Linked DNA regions of Macaca fascicularis. The protein of the gene in region 2 purifies or fractionates together with the protein of the main gene of each other region. This does not show direct contact. Links are inferred from orthologs where the notes say so. Each region holds a gene or a part of one and is shown on either strand. Other genes may lie near its edges.

Region 1 (5,398 bases), on a different chromosome or scaffold from region 2:
TAATGTAAATAATATCACTTACTCCTACTTATTAAGGATTTTTAAATATAAGTAATGTTGTGCTTCGCACAGTAAACTCTACGTGTTATCAACTTTCACTCTAGAGATGAAAACCACTAAAATGGTTGTGTTTGGGACAACAAATAGAGAATCAGAATCTGAGTTAGAAGGGGCCTTTGAGGTCTCTCCTCAATATAGTCTATCCTCCATTGTGGCTCTCCTATTCTAAATCTTTATGTGAGATAATAAACACAACACATAATATGCACAAAAACAGCCTACAAAATGGAGGAAAATGCTTTTCATCTGACTAATTTCTTACATAAACTTTAGACAGCTGTGTTAATCCACAGTTATGGGAAAGCATTTCTAATTGAGTTTTTAACAAGAAAACGAGCATAGTCTGGTAGGTTTAAAATGAGCTTTTTAGAGTGATGAACCTGGGTTCAAATACAAGCTCTGCCCCTTTCTAGCTATTCATTAATTCAACCACATGTATTGAGCAACTGTTGTTATAGATATCCCAATTGCTGGGAACACACAGTATTGATATTTTAGAAACAATGTACTCCATTATTCTTTAATATGGAATCCTTTGTTTCTCAGCTCCTAAAAAATCCCCAAAAACCTTCATTAAAAGTACATACAAGAAAAAATACATTAAAAAAAAAAACTGATATTTCAAGGGTATTTCTCTTAAAGCATGTAGCTGGTAGAACTGATGTTGTTATAAGGATAAATATCCTGATACTTTCTTGCTCAGATAGGAACTGCAAGCAAGCCCAAGACTTTTCTCAGAAAGCAGCTCTGAAGGAGTTGCTGGCTAACACAGCACTGGCTATCAGTTATCAAGCACATTATTTCATTTAATCTTCACAACACCATGTGGTAGATTGCTACAGTAATGGCTTCCAATGAATCATGTCTCCCTCTGTCCAGGCTCCTTTGCAATGTAACTTTGTCACTAAAGAGGCAGTAGTAGGCTCCATTTCCCCTCCCCTTGAATCTGGGCTGGTCTTCTGATTTACTTTTACCAGTACTAGAGAATTGATATGAGACTTTCTAGGCTATCCTTAAGAGGTCTTGTGACTTCCCCTCTCATAGCCACCTAAGAAAGCCCAAGCTAAACTAATGAATGAGAGACTATGTGCAGAGAGAGACAGATCCTGCCAAGAGCAAGATATGCATGTGAGTCCAGCCCCAGGTGAGTTGCCAGCTGACTATATCTGCATGAGTGAGCCCAGACAAGACCAGAAGAGCTGTCCAGTCAATCCATAGAATCCTGAGAAATCACAGTTGTTTTACACTGGTAAGTTTTTGGTTACAAAGCAACAGATAACTGAAGTACCCTATAAATACTATTGTTTATCTCCAATTCAGACCTGAAAAAGTAAATACTTAAGTTTCAGAACTCTCCAAATACATGAAAAGCTCTATTTCTTCTGATAACTAATGCACTTATTTTTCTTTTACAAAATAAAAAGTAAAGGAAGCATGGGGGAAAAATATAAGCTGCTTTTACTTTCATCCATATCTACAAAATTACAAGCAAAAAGGATTAAGCCATGAAGACATATTTGTTTCCAACCCATACAATAAGTGAATATATATTACTGACAGCTTAGTGATAGTAACAACAATCTTGCGGCACTTTCTATATGTCAGGTACTGTTCTAGGTGATATAAGTGTGGTAAGTATATATGCACACAGATACTCATCTTGTCTTCAGATAATCTCAGACAAGAATATGTCCTATTACCATCTTCATTTTCCTAAATGGGAAAATGCAGCACAAAGTAGTTACGCCCAAAATATACGGCTGAATTTCCCACTGATAAAAGTAGATTACATTTACCACCAGAGAAAAGGCAGCCTAGCCTACTTAAAACAGTCAGAATTTCGATGACCAGGTTAGAGCTGGTGTATCCCATTAACATACATAAAGTGATTTCAGCTGTCAGGATGTAAACATTAAGATCAACTTGAGAGGCATACTTTATTTACTTATTTATTTATGGAGACGGGGGTCTCACTATGTTGCCCAGGCTAGTCTAGAACTCCTGGCCTCAAGTGATCCTCCCACCTCAGCCTCTCTGCACCCGGCCTAGAGAGGCATACTTTAAGTTCATTACAAAAGATCAGTGCTGTGACATCTACAAAGAGAAAATGAACAATATACGTCTACCTACCTATGCTTAATACTGTTGAACAACTGCTTGCACAACAGGCACGTCACACATTTTAACTTGGAGTGAACCTAAGCATTCTATATGAATTTCGACAAAATTCAGATTGCTGCAAACATCACTACTCTAGACATCCTGATCCGCGATATGAGCACATTCCGCCTATGTGCCTTCAGAGTTGGTGGCGGAGAAAATACCCGAAACACAAGGACCCACAGAAGACAGTCTGAGTGGTCTGGACGACATGACAGCGGCCATACCTCCTCAGTCTCAGCCAGCCCCAAGAAGCCATCTCCCCGAAAAACACACCATCAAGGCCCCAGAATATACATTTCTCTGAATCAAAAAAAGGAGGAGGAAGGTCCAACGAGAGGCCAGATTCGGTGTGAGGCCGGCCAGCGATAGGAAGAGGTACCAGGGAAGGCTACTAAGGCCAGGGTAGCAGTCGTCTGTCAGACCGCTCTTCCAAAATCCTAAGGGACCAGAGGGATTCTATCAATAACTGAACAAGTTGACAGTCATCCCAAGTCTATGGCCTCGAAGGCCCCTGCACAAGGTCCCCTCCAGCTCTCTGCTTCTCCCAACATTTGCCTCCCTAGCCGACCTCAGGCCCGCCCCCTTGGTCGTCAGGCCGGTTCCTAGCTTCACGCCCAAGAGTCGTGGCCAACCTAAGGAGATTAAGGCTGTGGCTTTCTTTCCCCACCTCTGTACTCCCGCGTTGCTGGGAAATACTCACTTGCCAGCCAGATCTTTATGAGAGCCGCTCGAATTCATGAGCTGGGCCAAATCCTGTCGCACGGCTGCCGCCATCTTTCTCCCAGCTCAGCGGTGGATGCGGGGCCTCTGGCAGCCAAAAAGAAAACGAGTGTGGTCCTCCAGAGTGCAGCCAGAGGGAACCTGAGATGCTACAGAGTAGCGTCTGTGTGGGCCAGAGCGTCGGGTGTGGGAGCCTGGGCTAGCTCCGCCCTCAGGGTTGAGTGATGCGGGGCTCCACTCCTCAGGTCTGAGGCCTGCCCAGCCCTCTCCTACAGGCTCTGGCTCTCACGCTCGGACTTTGGATTGGCTGATGAACTCCAGGAGTGAGTCTCTAGTGTAACTCCAATAAGTACCCGGTACATAAAACGACTGCGTTTTCGCAAAGTTCCATGTCTCATGTCTGTGGTTTACCGTCCTTAGGTCTTTCAGGCAGCGCTTAAACTGCCTGTGGTAAAGAACGAGTTTTGTTTCTGATTCACCACAGACGATACTTTTTAGAAATACAATTAAAAAGTCCCCATTCCTCCTCCCACTCCATGCACTTTATAAAGGTTGATCAGATATTCCAGTTTGTCCAGTACAAAGCCATTTTCCCTCTGTCGTCCTGGAGTAGTGATTAATAACATCCCCCCTTGCGGCCGGGCGCGGTGGCTCACGCCTGTAATCCCAGCACTTTGGGAGGCCGAGGCGGGCGGATCACGAGGTCAGGAGATCGAGACCATCCTGGCTAAACACGGTGAAACCCCGTCTACTAAAAATACAAAAAAATTAGCTGGGCGTAGGTGGTGCACGCCTGTAGCCCCAGCTACTCGGGAGGCTGAGGCTGTAGAATGGCGTAAAACCCGGGAGGCGGAACTTGCAGTGACCCGAGATTGCGCCACTGCGCTCCTGCCTGGGCGATAGAGCAAGACTCCGTCTCTAAATAAATAAATTAATTAATTAATTAAAATAACATCCCCCCTTTCATTCTAGAAACGGTTGCATTTCAATGGAAGATTATATGGTCGCCTGCGTTTATATGATATTCAATACTCATGTATTCTTATGGAATTTCTGCAAATACAAGCAAATATTAATAAATATAAAATTTTACCTCTCCTTTCACAAAAAGTAACACCACATAATTGTTCTGCTTTGTTTTTTGTTGTTGTTGTTGTTTTGTTTTGTTTTGTTTTGTTTTGTTTTTTGCACTTTTCCTGGTACTGTGGTTTGAAATAATTGTCTTCTCCAAAACGCAAGTTGAGGGCTGGGTGCCGTGGCTCACGTCTGTAATCCCAGCACTTTGGGAGGCCGAGGCGGACGGATCATCTGAGGTTGGGAGTTCGAGACCAGCCTGAACAACATGGAGAAACCCCGTCTCAACTAAAAATACAAAAATTAGCCAGGCGTAGTGGCACATACCTGTAATTCCAGTTACTCAGGAGACTGAGGCAGGAGAATCACTTGAACCTGGGAGGCGAAGGTCGCGTTGAGCCAAGACTGCACCATTGCACTCCAGCCTGGGCAACAAGGGCGAAACTCCGTCTCAAAAAAAAAAAGGCAAGACTCCATCTCAAAAAATAAAAATTAAAATTAAATGAAAAAGAAAACAAACAACTCATGTTGAAACTTAATCTTTAATGTGGCAACATTTAGAGGTGGGTCTTAAATAGATGATTGGATCATGAGGACAAAACCCTGAGGAATTGATCCATTTGTGGATTAATGGGTTATCATGGGAGAGAACATGTGGCTTTATTAGAAGAGGAAGAGACCTGAGCTAGCATGTTAGGAAGGTCACTCCGTTGCCATGTGATACCCTGTGCTGCTTCTGAACTCTAGCAAGTCTTGACCAGCAAGAAGGGTCTCACTAGATGTGGTCGCTTGACCTTAGACTTCTTGGCCTTCATAACTGTAAGATATAAATTCCTTTTCTTTATAAATTACCCAGTTTCAGGTATTCTGGTATAAGCAACAGAAAACAGACTAAGACAGCTGGACATCTTACCAGCTGTCCAGTCTTTCAAAATCACTCTTTTTAGAGCTAGAAGATATTACATAGCAAGGGTATGTCTTAGTTTATTTAATCCTTATAGGACACAAGTTATTTTTAATCAATCCTGCGATGAATAACCTTTACATACATTATATATGTACAGGTAGAAAACATTACCAGAAATGAGGCAAAGGATAGACATACAATCTTGGTAGATCCTGCCAAATTGTACTTTGTAGGAATGGTATCATTTTGCCTTCCTACCAGAAATATATAGGGGTACAGTTTCCTACAGGCTTGCTTACAAAGTCTGTCAAACTTTTGGAGTTTTGCCATCTTGATGTGTGATAAATGGCATATTCCCTCTAATGGGAAAGAGAAAGAGAAGAATACCTAAAGAAGGAATCTCTTTTAAGAATGTGTATTAGTCTGTTCTCAGGCAGGCGTGGTGGCTCAAGCCTGTAATCCCACCACTTTAGG
Region 2 (5,398 bases):
ATAGAAATGGAAATATCTTAACTCCATGTAGTTTTAAACTACATTTATGAGCAGAGTGAAATTTTTAAAGATTGAAACATCCAAATGACTCCAGAAATCATGTTGCATTTTCAGAATAGAAAGAAACACCTTACTCTAGGCTTTAAACTTCACTGACTAGCAATGAGTGTGGGGAAAAAAGTTTTAATTAGAACATCCAAATGCCTTAATATGCTTTTATCTTAGGAGGGAGAGAAAAAAATCTCTGAAACCAATTTGAAAATGCAACCAGGATCATAACTCATTTAAAAATATTTGGCTATAAAAATACATATATTTTTAAGTGAAATAATGAACACGTTAGTCAATTACAATTCATATTGACTTCAGAAAGCTCTACTATTAAATCATAAACTGAGAACCTGGGTATGGGAAGGTAGTGATATAAAAAAGAAAGAGTTAAAAATAGACAACACCATAGCCCTCTGCTTGAGACAAAATAGAGCACATTCCTGATTTCCACTCAATGTTAAAAACACAAGCATAGAGAACCTGATCTTCTCAATACTAATATTCAGCCACAAAGCACTTATCTCATAAATATTACTTAAGTTCATTCATTTACTTCCCTATTTAATAAACACTGTAGCACTGATTACCTGGCAGTTAAGGGTGTTGAAAAGTCAGTCAGAAAAACAGAAACACATTCAACAGATAAAAATTCAGCTCAAATACAGTTTTAAAAATTGCTTATTTTATATTTGCATCAATGCATTCATAATACTCTCCTCACATATCTCAAACACGGTCTGAACAAATTTTCCTAAAAGCTGCAAGTCGATACTTTAAAATCCATTTTAGTGATGGAAAAAATAGATGTAGTAATTGTTCCTATCTTTAGACTAGTGGTACACAGACTTACTACTTCTGTGTATACACAATGTTTTTCACTTTCAAACCCTACCTTTGGAAAGAAATACAGAGAACATAAATTTTTCTTCTAATATTGCTTCCAAATGAGTTTCATGAATACAGTGTAAATCTAATTATAAATATTATTTGAGCACAAAAAGATCACTATTGCTACCTGCATTTCTAGGCATTGGATAATGTGGCCTACTGAAGCATAAAAATAAAAATCCCAGCAGTGCCAAGGCTCGCTATGCACCTGAAATAAATAAACCTCTTTAGAATACAAATTTCTCACCTGTAAAATCCGGATCAATCATACCGATTGTCAGTGTTATAAGGAATAACAGATTAAATACAATAGGCTGAAAAAAAACCTCAAAATACTGCACAGAAACACCCGGTGTATGCTTCAGCACAAGGATCCTAACCACCCCCGGAAAATGAACCCTCCACCAAAAAAGGACCTCCCCTCCACCTCATTGATTATGCATAAAACATTAGGCCACCTCCAAACTGTTTAATATATTAACATAAATAGAGCACGTGACCCCTCGAGTGTCAAATCCTTATTAGGTGATTATGGATTTTGGCCTTGGTTACCTTTAAAGTTCTTGATCACTAACTTCTTAGCAGAGCCAGGCTTGCTGTTAGCAAAGCTAGAGACGGTGGTAGAAGATTTGGCTAGGCCGTTTGCATGATGCACCGAAGCCACAGAAGAGATTAATATACTCTTATTTTTAAGTTGCTGCTGCTGAGATGTTGCAGCAGTTGGTGAAGATGAGGAGGAGGAGGAGGAGGATTCCTCAGCCATCTTCGCATCAAACCCTACAAACTCCAGGGTGTCTTCAAAACGCAGCTTCTTCTGTATCGGTACGTGGCTGGAAGCAGCCACTGAAACCCCCAGGCAGAAGGACGAGGTTGAAGGGGATGCCGAATCCCTGGGTTGTAAAGGAGGAGTGGAAGAGGAGGAAGAGGTGGAATCAAAGTCTTCTCTCTCGTTACTACTGTTACTGCTGCTACTGCTGCTGCTGTTTAACTTTCTCTTCTTGGCAGAGGTGGGCGGAGTGGTGCTGGTATTACCATCAGTGGCAGATCTGACCTCCTGAGCAGCAGCAGCAGCTGAGGGACTGGGGGAAGAAAAACCTGTTGGAAACATGAAAATAGCGGGGTCAACAGGCAGAGGAGCATCAAAAACCTACGTTTATATGCCTGCGTGCGTGTAGGAGAGAAGGTGGCAATGCTAGAGGGGGAAGGGAAGAAAGAAGAGAGGAGAAACACAGAGGACGAGAAGGAAAGTGAAGGCGGGGGGGGCTACACCGGGGGAATGGGAGGGTTTGGGAAGGCGGATAGGCTGACACCAGGAGTGAGCAGAACGAGGGGGGAGAGCGAATGAGGAGGCAGACAGGTAAACGGCCGTGCCGTCCCCCTCCCCTGCTTTTCGATCTCTCTCCCCCCCTTTCTGCAGGAGCGACTCAGCGAGTCTGTGAGGCTGCAGCTCCTCCTCCTTTTCTCCCTCTCCCTGGGAGGGGAGAGGCTGTGGTTGGGGGAAAGGGGGAGGGGGAAAGAACCAGGGCTTGTTATTGTCAATAGCACAAGAGGCTAAAGATGGCGCCATTTCCGGTCACGCGGCACCGAGGGAGGGGCGGTGCCAACCTCAGGGATTGGGGGTGAGGGAAGCGCTGCAGCCGCCCGGGGGGCGGGTGAGCTCGCGCGTGAGGGGGCGGCTGGGAAGGGGCGGCTAAAGTGCCCCAGACGCTCGCGTTAGTTCGCTCCGGCTCCCGCTCTCCTTCGCGCTCCCCCTTCCTGGCAGCGCCTTCCTTCCCTGGCCCACCGGGGACTCCCACTCGCTCCTTAACGGTCCCGCGGGAAGCTCCGCGCCGCAGCGCCCTTACCGGAAGTGACTGGGCAGACACTTTTCATAGCGCCCAGATCCCGAAGCCCCCAGGCCCGCAGGACTTGAGTTGGGGGGGGAAGGGGGGAGGGAGAAATTGGGGGGAAGAAAAGTGGATGGGAGGAGGGGGCGGGCCTTCGAGACACCTTCGGAGCTCCTGATTGGAGCTTTCTGAAGGCGAGGGGGTGGGGGGGGGGTGGCGGGAGGAACGGGGAGGAGCGGGAAGGAGCCTCGGGGAGGGAAGGTAGTGACGGCGAGGGGCGGAGTGAGCTAGCTGGGAAAACGGAGGAGGAGGAAGAGGAGGAGAGAGGGAGGGACGAAATAAAATGTAAAGGTCCGGGAGAATGGAAACTTTGAAAGAGATAAAGGAATAAGGAGTGGTTGCAAGGCTAGGGGAGTAACCCTAAATAGAGGAAAACATAATCATGCTATTATGCCCGTTACTGGAGAGGAATGTCCCGATGTTAAGATAGGAAAGGAGAAGAAAACGAGCTAAGATAGGAAGAAAAGGACTTTTTGATTCGGTGCCGCTATAAATTGTTTCTCTTTTATCTCAAGGCACCACAGACCCAAGGCTGAATAAGGCCTGAGTTTTGATGCCTTTCTCTTTCATGTAGCTGTAAATCCTTTTATCTTCCTACCAGGAGCATTTTCTAAGCTGGCTGGCCAAATTAAGGGTGTATTCTAAGGCGAAGAAATAGAAAGGTAACTAACCACTCACCCACTGAGCACTGTGCCCAGGACCGTCCTAACCCCCACTCTATCAGTCCTTAACTCTAATTTATAGACCAAAGCTAAGACCCACTTCCTTCTTTTGCCAAATCTCAGCTTACACGCTGTCCCAAAGGAGACATTTTAGAACAATATTGGCAAAAGTTAATGTTTTCTACCAATGTGTTTCATGAGCCCCCGCTTTACATTTGATGACTGATTTTAAAAATCTTTAAATTTAGTTAAATTAGCAACAATCAACCTTGTAAATTCCCTGTTGGGAGTTTTTACTTAACCTTGGGGCATTCTCAGAGGGAGGTAACACAATGTCAAATAGAACTAAATTTGCCAACCTGTTGATCATTCTAACTGCAAAAGCATTCAGTGAGCATGTATGGTAAGACACTATGCAAGGTCTCTGCCCTTGAGAAGCCAGTAAGGGAAGATAGTTTCAAAACTAATTTCCATAACAATACTATGACAGATATACAAAGTGCTGTCAGAAGAGGCAAAACAAGAAATTTGGGGGAAATCTGGAATAGGAATAGTTTTACAGAGATTGTGTTTATGCTGTGCCTCAAAGTGGGAGTTGCCAAAAAGACAAGAGGGAACAGGATGAAAGGCATTTTGGGGAATGGAAACAAGGGCAAAGCAAGGAGTGAAAGGGCCTGGCCTGTTTATGGAAACATGGAAAGTGCAGTGAGGCTGGGAAGTAGGATGTCTAGCTGGGAGTAAGGAAGATGAGGCTCAAAAGGGCCTGGCACACCAAGCCAAGAATTTGGAGTCTACTCTGTAGGCAATCATAGATAGCAGGGAGACAATCCAGCAAGCAGAGCTTTTACAAACCAGGAGTGACAGGATTGTGAGTGGAGTAAAAGCAGCTTGTATGGTATAGCTTGTGATAGGTGAATCAGAACCCTGCAAATAAATAACTTTCTAACTTTGTTTAAACAGGCCTACTTGTTTTTGTGTCTTGAAAAGTCCCTGATTAAAATGCAAATCAACCTTTGGCATTATTAAACGATATCATTGCTATTTGATGACAGCCTGCTGAAAGCAAGGCTCTAATGGAACTTAGAACCCAAGGCCCCTGAGAAGGGAGACAGGGGCCTGAAAAGGGACAGATGGAAGCACTCCTATCTGTTTTGAATATACCACATAGGTTTTTTGGTTTGGTTTGGTTTGGTTTTGGAGACAGAATCTTGCTGTGTCGCCCAGGCTGGAGTGCAGTGGTGTAATCTTGGCTCACTGCAACCTCTGCCTCCTGGGTTCAAGCGATTCTTGTGCGTCAGCCTCCTTGAGTACCTGGGACTACAGGCGCATATCAGTATGCCTGCTAATTGTTTTGTATTTTTAGTAGAGTCAGGGTTTTGCCATGTTGGCCAGGCTGGTCTCAAACTCCTGGCCTCAAGTGATCTGCCGCCTCAGCCTCCCAAAGTGCTGGGCCTACCATATAGTTCTTGCTGCCCAAATAGAAACAGTAAACTCTTAAGGCCAGGAAAGATGCCTTAAAACATTGAGTTTTCCTTTATCGTGTCTCACATTTCACAAAACTCTGAACTACTGTAAACGCAGGGTAAATACTTATTGAATTAACTATTTCATCGCATGTGAATAAAATAATGCTGTGTCTTTATAAGGGAGGATTAACTGGCTCATTTTCAGGATTTAATGAACACAGTTGTTTGTTCTAATTCATGTAGTTAAATTCTTTAGGAGGGTATATGAAGTACTAGCCATTTAAAAAATTACAAATATTAGTGCAACTGAAAGGGAATGGACATAAAGATAAGAGAAAGCTGCTTTTGCCATACAAAGATAAACTTTTCTACTAACCTAAATGAGAGCTGAGTCCTGTTAATATATAACTACATTCTAGTAATAATAGTTCCCTATCTCACATGG
Region 3 (5,298 bases), on a different chromosome or scaffold from region 2:
TTTAAATTTTCATTTCAAACTGTGCAAATTCAGTATTTTTCCTTCCAAATGTTTATTCCCTACTTGCTCCCCAACCCACCCTGAGATAAAAAGCACTTCTTAAAATGCCAGATTTAATTTTCTTTCCTGCTGAGAAAGTGATTTGCAGCCTGGGGCTGCCTGTTGGCAAATTATTTTCTCTTGTATGTGTACAGTTGAAAGTTCAATTTAGGGGTATTTATTTTTCCCTCTTAATATTTCTAACATGCAGAGAGACATCTTAAGTACATCTTGTTCTAAACTGCCCAGGCAAGTTGTATACAAGCAAGGTACTGCTGAACAAATGAAAAATCAGATAGGCATTTTCCACTTTCTTCTTCATAAATGTGCTTTCAGCCAAGAGCATTTGTAAAATACATTTGAGATTTGTAGCAATTAAGATCAGAGGGGGAACCTGAAAAGCATTCAAATGCCATAGGTGACAGAGTTACTGCTTTTTCTAAATGGGCCCTCGGTGGCTAGCCCTCTTCCTTTAAACTTCCAGTGCTGTGCTCTGCCTAACAAGGAAGTTCCAAGAACCCCTAATTTTTGTTACAGTGAATGTAGCATTGTGAATCATCTACTTCTGACAGGACTCTAGAAGTTCTCAGACCACTAGGATTAGTACTTCAGCCTCCTATGATTGAGTTTAAATCTCAATTACCAATTTCTGGAGCCACTCGACCCACCTGTTTTACTAGTAATTAGTGCTTCTCAGAGCTTATGTTACATGGCTTTTGCAGTCACCTGCAAATTAAATTTGGCTGTAAATTAAAGAGGCTAGAGGGTAACCTGAGAATAATACTCATAATATTACCAAGGCCTTGTGTTTGGATGTACTTTTTACTTATTAATCTTACTGGAACCTATCAAATTAAACTGGGGGAGGAGTGCAGAGGACAACTAGGGCAGAAAGATTGGGTTTAGAGTTACAAACTGTATAAGCAAAGCATAGAGCCCTAGTTATGTCGCTAGCTACGACTTATTGCAGCTAACAGAAACAACTAGGCCACCTTTTAGCAAAGAAGAAAACAATAATCTCAAAGGCAGCAGTCACAGACAACTTACTACCTCCAAAATAAAAAGGCAATTATAGCTCAAACCTAAATAAAGATTGATTCATGTCCTTTCTATAGCCCTGGACAACACTTTGATCCTATCAGGGCTTCACCAGAATCTCTCATAATTACATGGATATAAAATTACTCAAACATTTACTAGCCTTCCCTCCAAGGCAGACTGGGAAGTAAAGAACAGGAGGATAGAGAAGTCAAGGACTTCACTGCAATATCCCATGATACGTAAGACGAACCAGATGCTCACCTGTGATTGCTCAATGGGTGACTTCATCATTGATAGGGAAGAAAAAACATCCACAAAAAATGATTTCTAACCATATTACTCCCGTACTTTTTTTTAGAACACATAAACTACAATTCAGAAGGCAAATGTTAGAAGATATTTTACCACAGGTAACTGGTGAGATTATAGGACATGATACCCTGTACAGAATCTGTTAATGGCAGAAATCAGCTACAGGTCAGTAAGAGATACCAAACTCAGCTGGGCGCGGTGGCTCACGCCTGTAATCCCAGCACTTTGGGAGGCCGAGGCGGGCGGATCACGAGGTCAGGAGATCGAGACCATCCTGGCTAACACGGTGAAACCCCATCTCTACTAAAAATACAAAAAATTAGCCGGGCGTGGTGGTGCGTGCCTATAGTCCCAGCTACTCGGGAGGCTGAGGCAGGAGAATGGCGTGAACCCAGGAGGCGGAGCTTGCAGTGAGCCGAGATGGTGCCACTGCACTCCAGCCTGGGTGACAAAGTGAGACTCCGTCTCAAAAAAAAAAAAAAAAAGAGATACCAAACTCAGTTGACTTCATGATTTACTGATTTGCTGGTTGTTCTGAATTTCCAAACTAGTGTCTAAGGAGACAACCTGCAAACAGGAGAACTGGGGAGACAAAGGTGTAGCAAGGTAGTTCTCTAACTTGGTCAACACTGAAGCGGAGAGGTTTTCAAAGACAAATGCCCAAATTACCCTGAATTTCAATATAGTGTTTCAACCCCCAAATCTTAGCAGTTCTGTGCTCTTTATATCACCTTATTCCCTTTTGGGAAATGCTTCTTCCCCTTACTGAAAGAAAGGCATTCTTCCCCTAAACTGAAAAACCTTTAAGACTTGTTGTCCTGATGACTCTCCTCATGGATCATCAATTTTGGCTTCTTTTTGATCTCTTCACTGCTCTACAAGCTATGTCCCAGCATGTGGGCAAGGTCAGGGTAAAGTCACAGAACTTAATTCCGCCAAATGAGTGCACCTGTTAGTTACCTTATAAATAGGACTTTACGGAGAAGTAAATTATGAACCATTTAAGGACGAAAGTGGGGTTACTTAGAGAATTTTCTTTTTTGTATCGTATACTCATTCTCATTGCCATTACTAAAACGGCCAGACCAATAAGCACAATCTTACAAAATCAAGAGAGGTTATCCATAAGTAGTCCAAACCTTGACCTTGTAGCATTTGGGCTTCCATCTTATGAGTACCGAAAATGCTCTGCAGAAGAGTTAGGGTAGTAATCAGAGTTGACTATCTTCCTGTCAATGACTTGAACTTTAGCTTCCATTTGTCCAGATAAATACATATGACCAGAGAAAAATGGAGCTGATTTTAAGTTTGGGCCCTAGGATATCAACTCAGACTACGTGAAATGTCTATTTCTGAGGGGTGGGCTATAAACAGAGAAACCTTCCCATTTTGTCAAGGAGACTGGACAAGTAAAAGGCAGAAGTGCACCTCATACCTGTGATGGATCTGTGACTCGCAGTGTTACTACATCCTCACTAGTGTACTTGATAAACAGATGGTTTTCATCCAGAAGCTGCATTTTCCACATTCGCAGCTGCCGCAGTTGGTCAAAATACTGGAAGAAGCGCCTCTTGGCCATTGCGCTACCATCCTGTTCTGCCCGGCGCCACAAATACACCAGCAACCGGTGTTTGAGGGAATTGATGAAAGGATCCCTAAAGGGATTGGCCATGCCTGTCTGACTGTCCCGCTGTACCTCAGGGAAAACAGCTGACACAGTGAGCAGGTCATCCTCATAGCAAAAGCGGCCAATGGTCCGCACATCAATGAAAGTGCCTTCAGGAGTCACCTGGAAGACATGGATGGTCTGTTGTTGCACAGACAAGATGGCCAGGATGTTTTTGTACAAGTACAGCCCTTGGTTGTGTGACAAGACCACCTTGTCACACTTGAATGTGCGTGTATCACATAAGCGGCCAGTATGAAGGTCAATGATGTGGAGGGAATAGTCTTCTAGAGGGGACCGTGGGTTGGGGGTCACTGATTCACTGTTCCGATATACCTCAAAAAATGGAGGGTGAGGCTCATCCGGGAGGTAGGCAGCTGAGCCCACGATGACACAGCGGCAGTCATCAGTGAAGAGACTACACTCCCGGTTCAGGTGCTCACCATTGGCTGCAACATTGGTAATGTGCAGCAGGACAAAAAAGCGTTCAAAGAGCCGGCCCCGGATATTCACTGACCGCTGGTCATTGCCATTGGACAGGATTTCTCCTTCATATCCCTGCAGTAGGTCCTCTGCTGCCTGGCAGCCCTGGTACTCATAGATTTCAAGAGATGTCTGGTCTGAAGAAAAAGCAATAAAGTAGCGTCCGTCAGGTGAGAATTTACGCAAAAAACAAGGAGGCTTTTCAACGTTGACAACTGTGAAGTTGGGGAAGACATTCTGATGGAACACTCGGACTTGGTGCCAGTGGGTACCTGCCTTGCCTGAACTGATCCGCCGGCGCTCCAAGCGGTGAATGACATTTTGGTTTTGGATTCTTCGAGGCCTGATGGTAGAAACATGATGATCCATTATCACATCTCTAAACAGAAAAGTAAAGCAGAAGTCAAGAAAATGAAACAAAATTTACCAAAATATAAATATATACAAGTCAAACAGATTTCTCTTCTTATATCCTGAACCTAGGAGCTCCCAGGATGACAGTGACTGGAATTACTGCTTCCCTTTAAGTGGTCCTAACATTTCTAAGTCTAGAAACAGGTCTAAGGGAAGGATCTAGTTCACTAGGAACACCTTCCAAGTATGCTCAGCTGTTGGGAATGTTCAACAGAAAAAAACCTACAACTGCAAATTTGAACAGTATAAGACACATTCAGCCAGGCACGGTGGCTCATGCCTGTAATCCCAACACTTTGGGAGACCGAAGCAAGTGGATCACTTGAGCTCACTAGTTCAAGGCCAGCCTGGAAAACATGGCAAAACCCCGTCTCTACAAAAAAAATAGAAAAATTAGCCAGGCATGGTGGCACATGCCTGTAGTTCTAGCTACTTGAGAGGCTGAAGTGGAAGGACTGCTTAAGCTCGGATCATTGAAGCTGCAATGAGCCATGATCACAACACTGCAACAGAGTGAGACTATCTCAAACAAACAAACAAACAAATCATATTCAATGTGTATTCATTCCAGCAAAAAATATTTATTGGGCTGTTAAGATGTCCATATTACCCAAAATAATCTACAGATTCAATATAAACCCTATCAAAATCCTAATAGCACTTTTTACAAAGATAAAAAATTCATCCTAAACTTCATATGGTATGTCAAGGGCCTCCAAATACACAAAATAATTTTGAAAAAGAACAAAGAGGACTCAAGCCTCCTGATTTCAAAATATATTACAAAACCACAGTAATCAAAAAAGTGTGGTACTGGATAAAGACAGAGACAGACAAATGAAATGGCCCACAAATAAACTCTGGCATACATGGTTAAACAATCTTTGATAAGGTACTACTACTACTCAATAGAAAAAGGATAGTCACTTCAGCAAATGGTGTTGGGAAAACTGAATAGCCACATGCAAAAGAATGAAGTCGGACCCTATCTTACACCCTATACAAAAATTAACCCAAAATAGGTCAAGGACCTTTATAAATATAAGACCCATAACTATAAAACTACTAGAAGAAAATACAGGAGGAAAGCTTCATGACATCAGACCTGGCAGTGATTTCTTAGATAAGACACAAAAGGCATAGGCAACCAAGACAAAAACAGACAAATGGGAATACATCAAACTTAAAACTTCTGTAATCAAAGGACACAATCAACAGAGTGAAAGGGCTTTCTACAGGATGGAAGAAAATATTTGCAAATCATATACTGGATAAAGGGTTAATATCTAGAACATATAAAGAACTCTTATAACTCAATAACAAAAAATCATATACCCAATTTT

The links.
Region 1: the proteins of CUL4B (region 2) and COPS4 purify together in Homo sapiens (affinity purification with mass spectrometry; 9 studies listed by BioGRID and IntAct, with this or other methods). This does not show direct contact. The link is inferred for Macaca fascicularis from reciprocal best matches to the Homo sapiens genes CUL4B and COPS4.
Region 3: the proteins of CUL4B (region 2) and DET1 purify together in Homo sapiens (affinity purification with mass spectrometry; 3 studies listed by BioGRID and IntAct, counting the BioPlex papers as one, with this or other methods). This does not show direct contact. The link is inferred for Macaca fascicularis from reciprocal best matches to the Homo sapiens genes CUL4B and DET1.

The regions. Positions count from the first base shown.
Region 1 is NC_088379.1:50,803,339-50,808,736, forward strand, and holds the start of COPS4 (COP9 signalosome complex subunit 4), read right to left. Parts: upstream 3,051-5,398; 5' UTR 2,998-3,050; coding exon 2,924-2,997; intron 1-2,923. UniProt on the Homo sapiens protein: Component of the COP9 signalosome complex (CSN), a complex involved in various cellular and developmental processes.
Region 2 is NC_088395.1:126,835,697-126,841,094, forward strand, and holds the start of CUL4B (cullin-4B), read right to left. Parts: upstream 2,863-5,398; 5' UTR 2,812-2,862; coding exon 2,784-2,811; intron 2,035-2,783; coding exon 1,492-2,034; intron 1,388-1,491; exon of another isoform or gene 1,209-1,387; coding exon of another isoform or gene 1,187-1,208; intron 1-1,186.
Region 3 is NC_088381.1:72,982,582-72,987,879, forward strand, and holds part of DET1 (DET1 homolog), read right to left. Parts: intron 3,921-5,298; coding exon 2,828-3,920; intron 1-2,827. UniProt on the Homo sapiens protein: Component of the E3 ubiquitin ligase DCX DET1-COP1 complex, which is required for ubiquitination and subsequent degradation of target proteins. The complex is involved in JUN ubiquitination and degradation.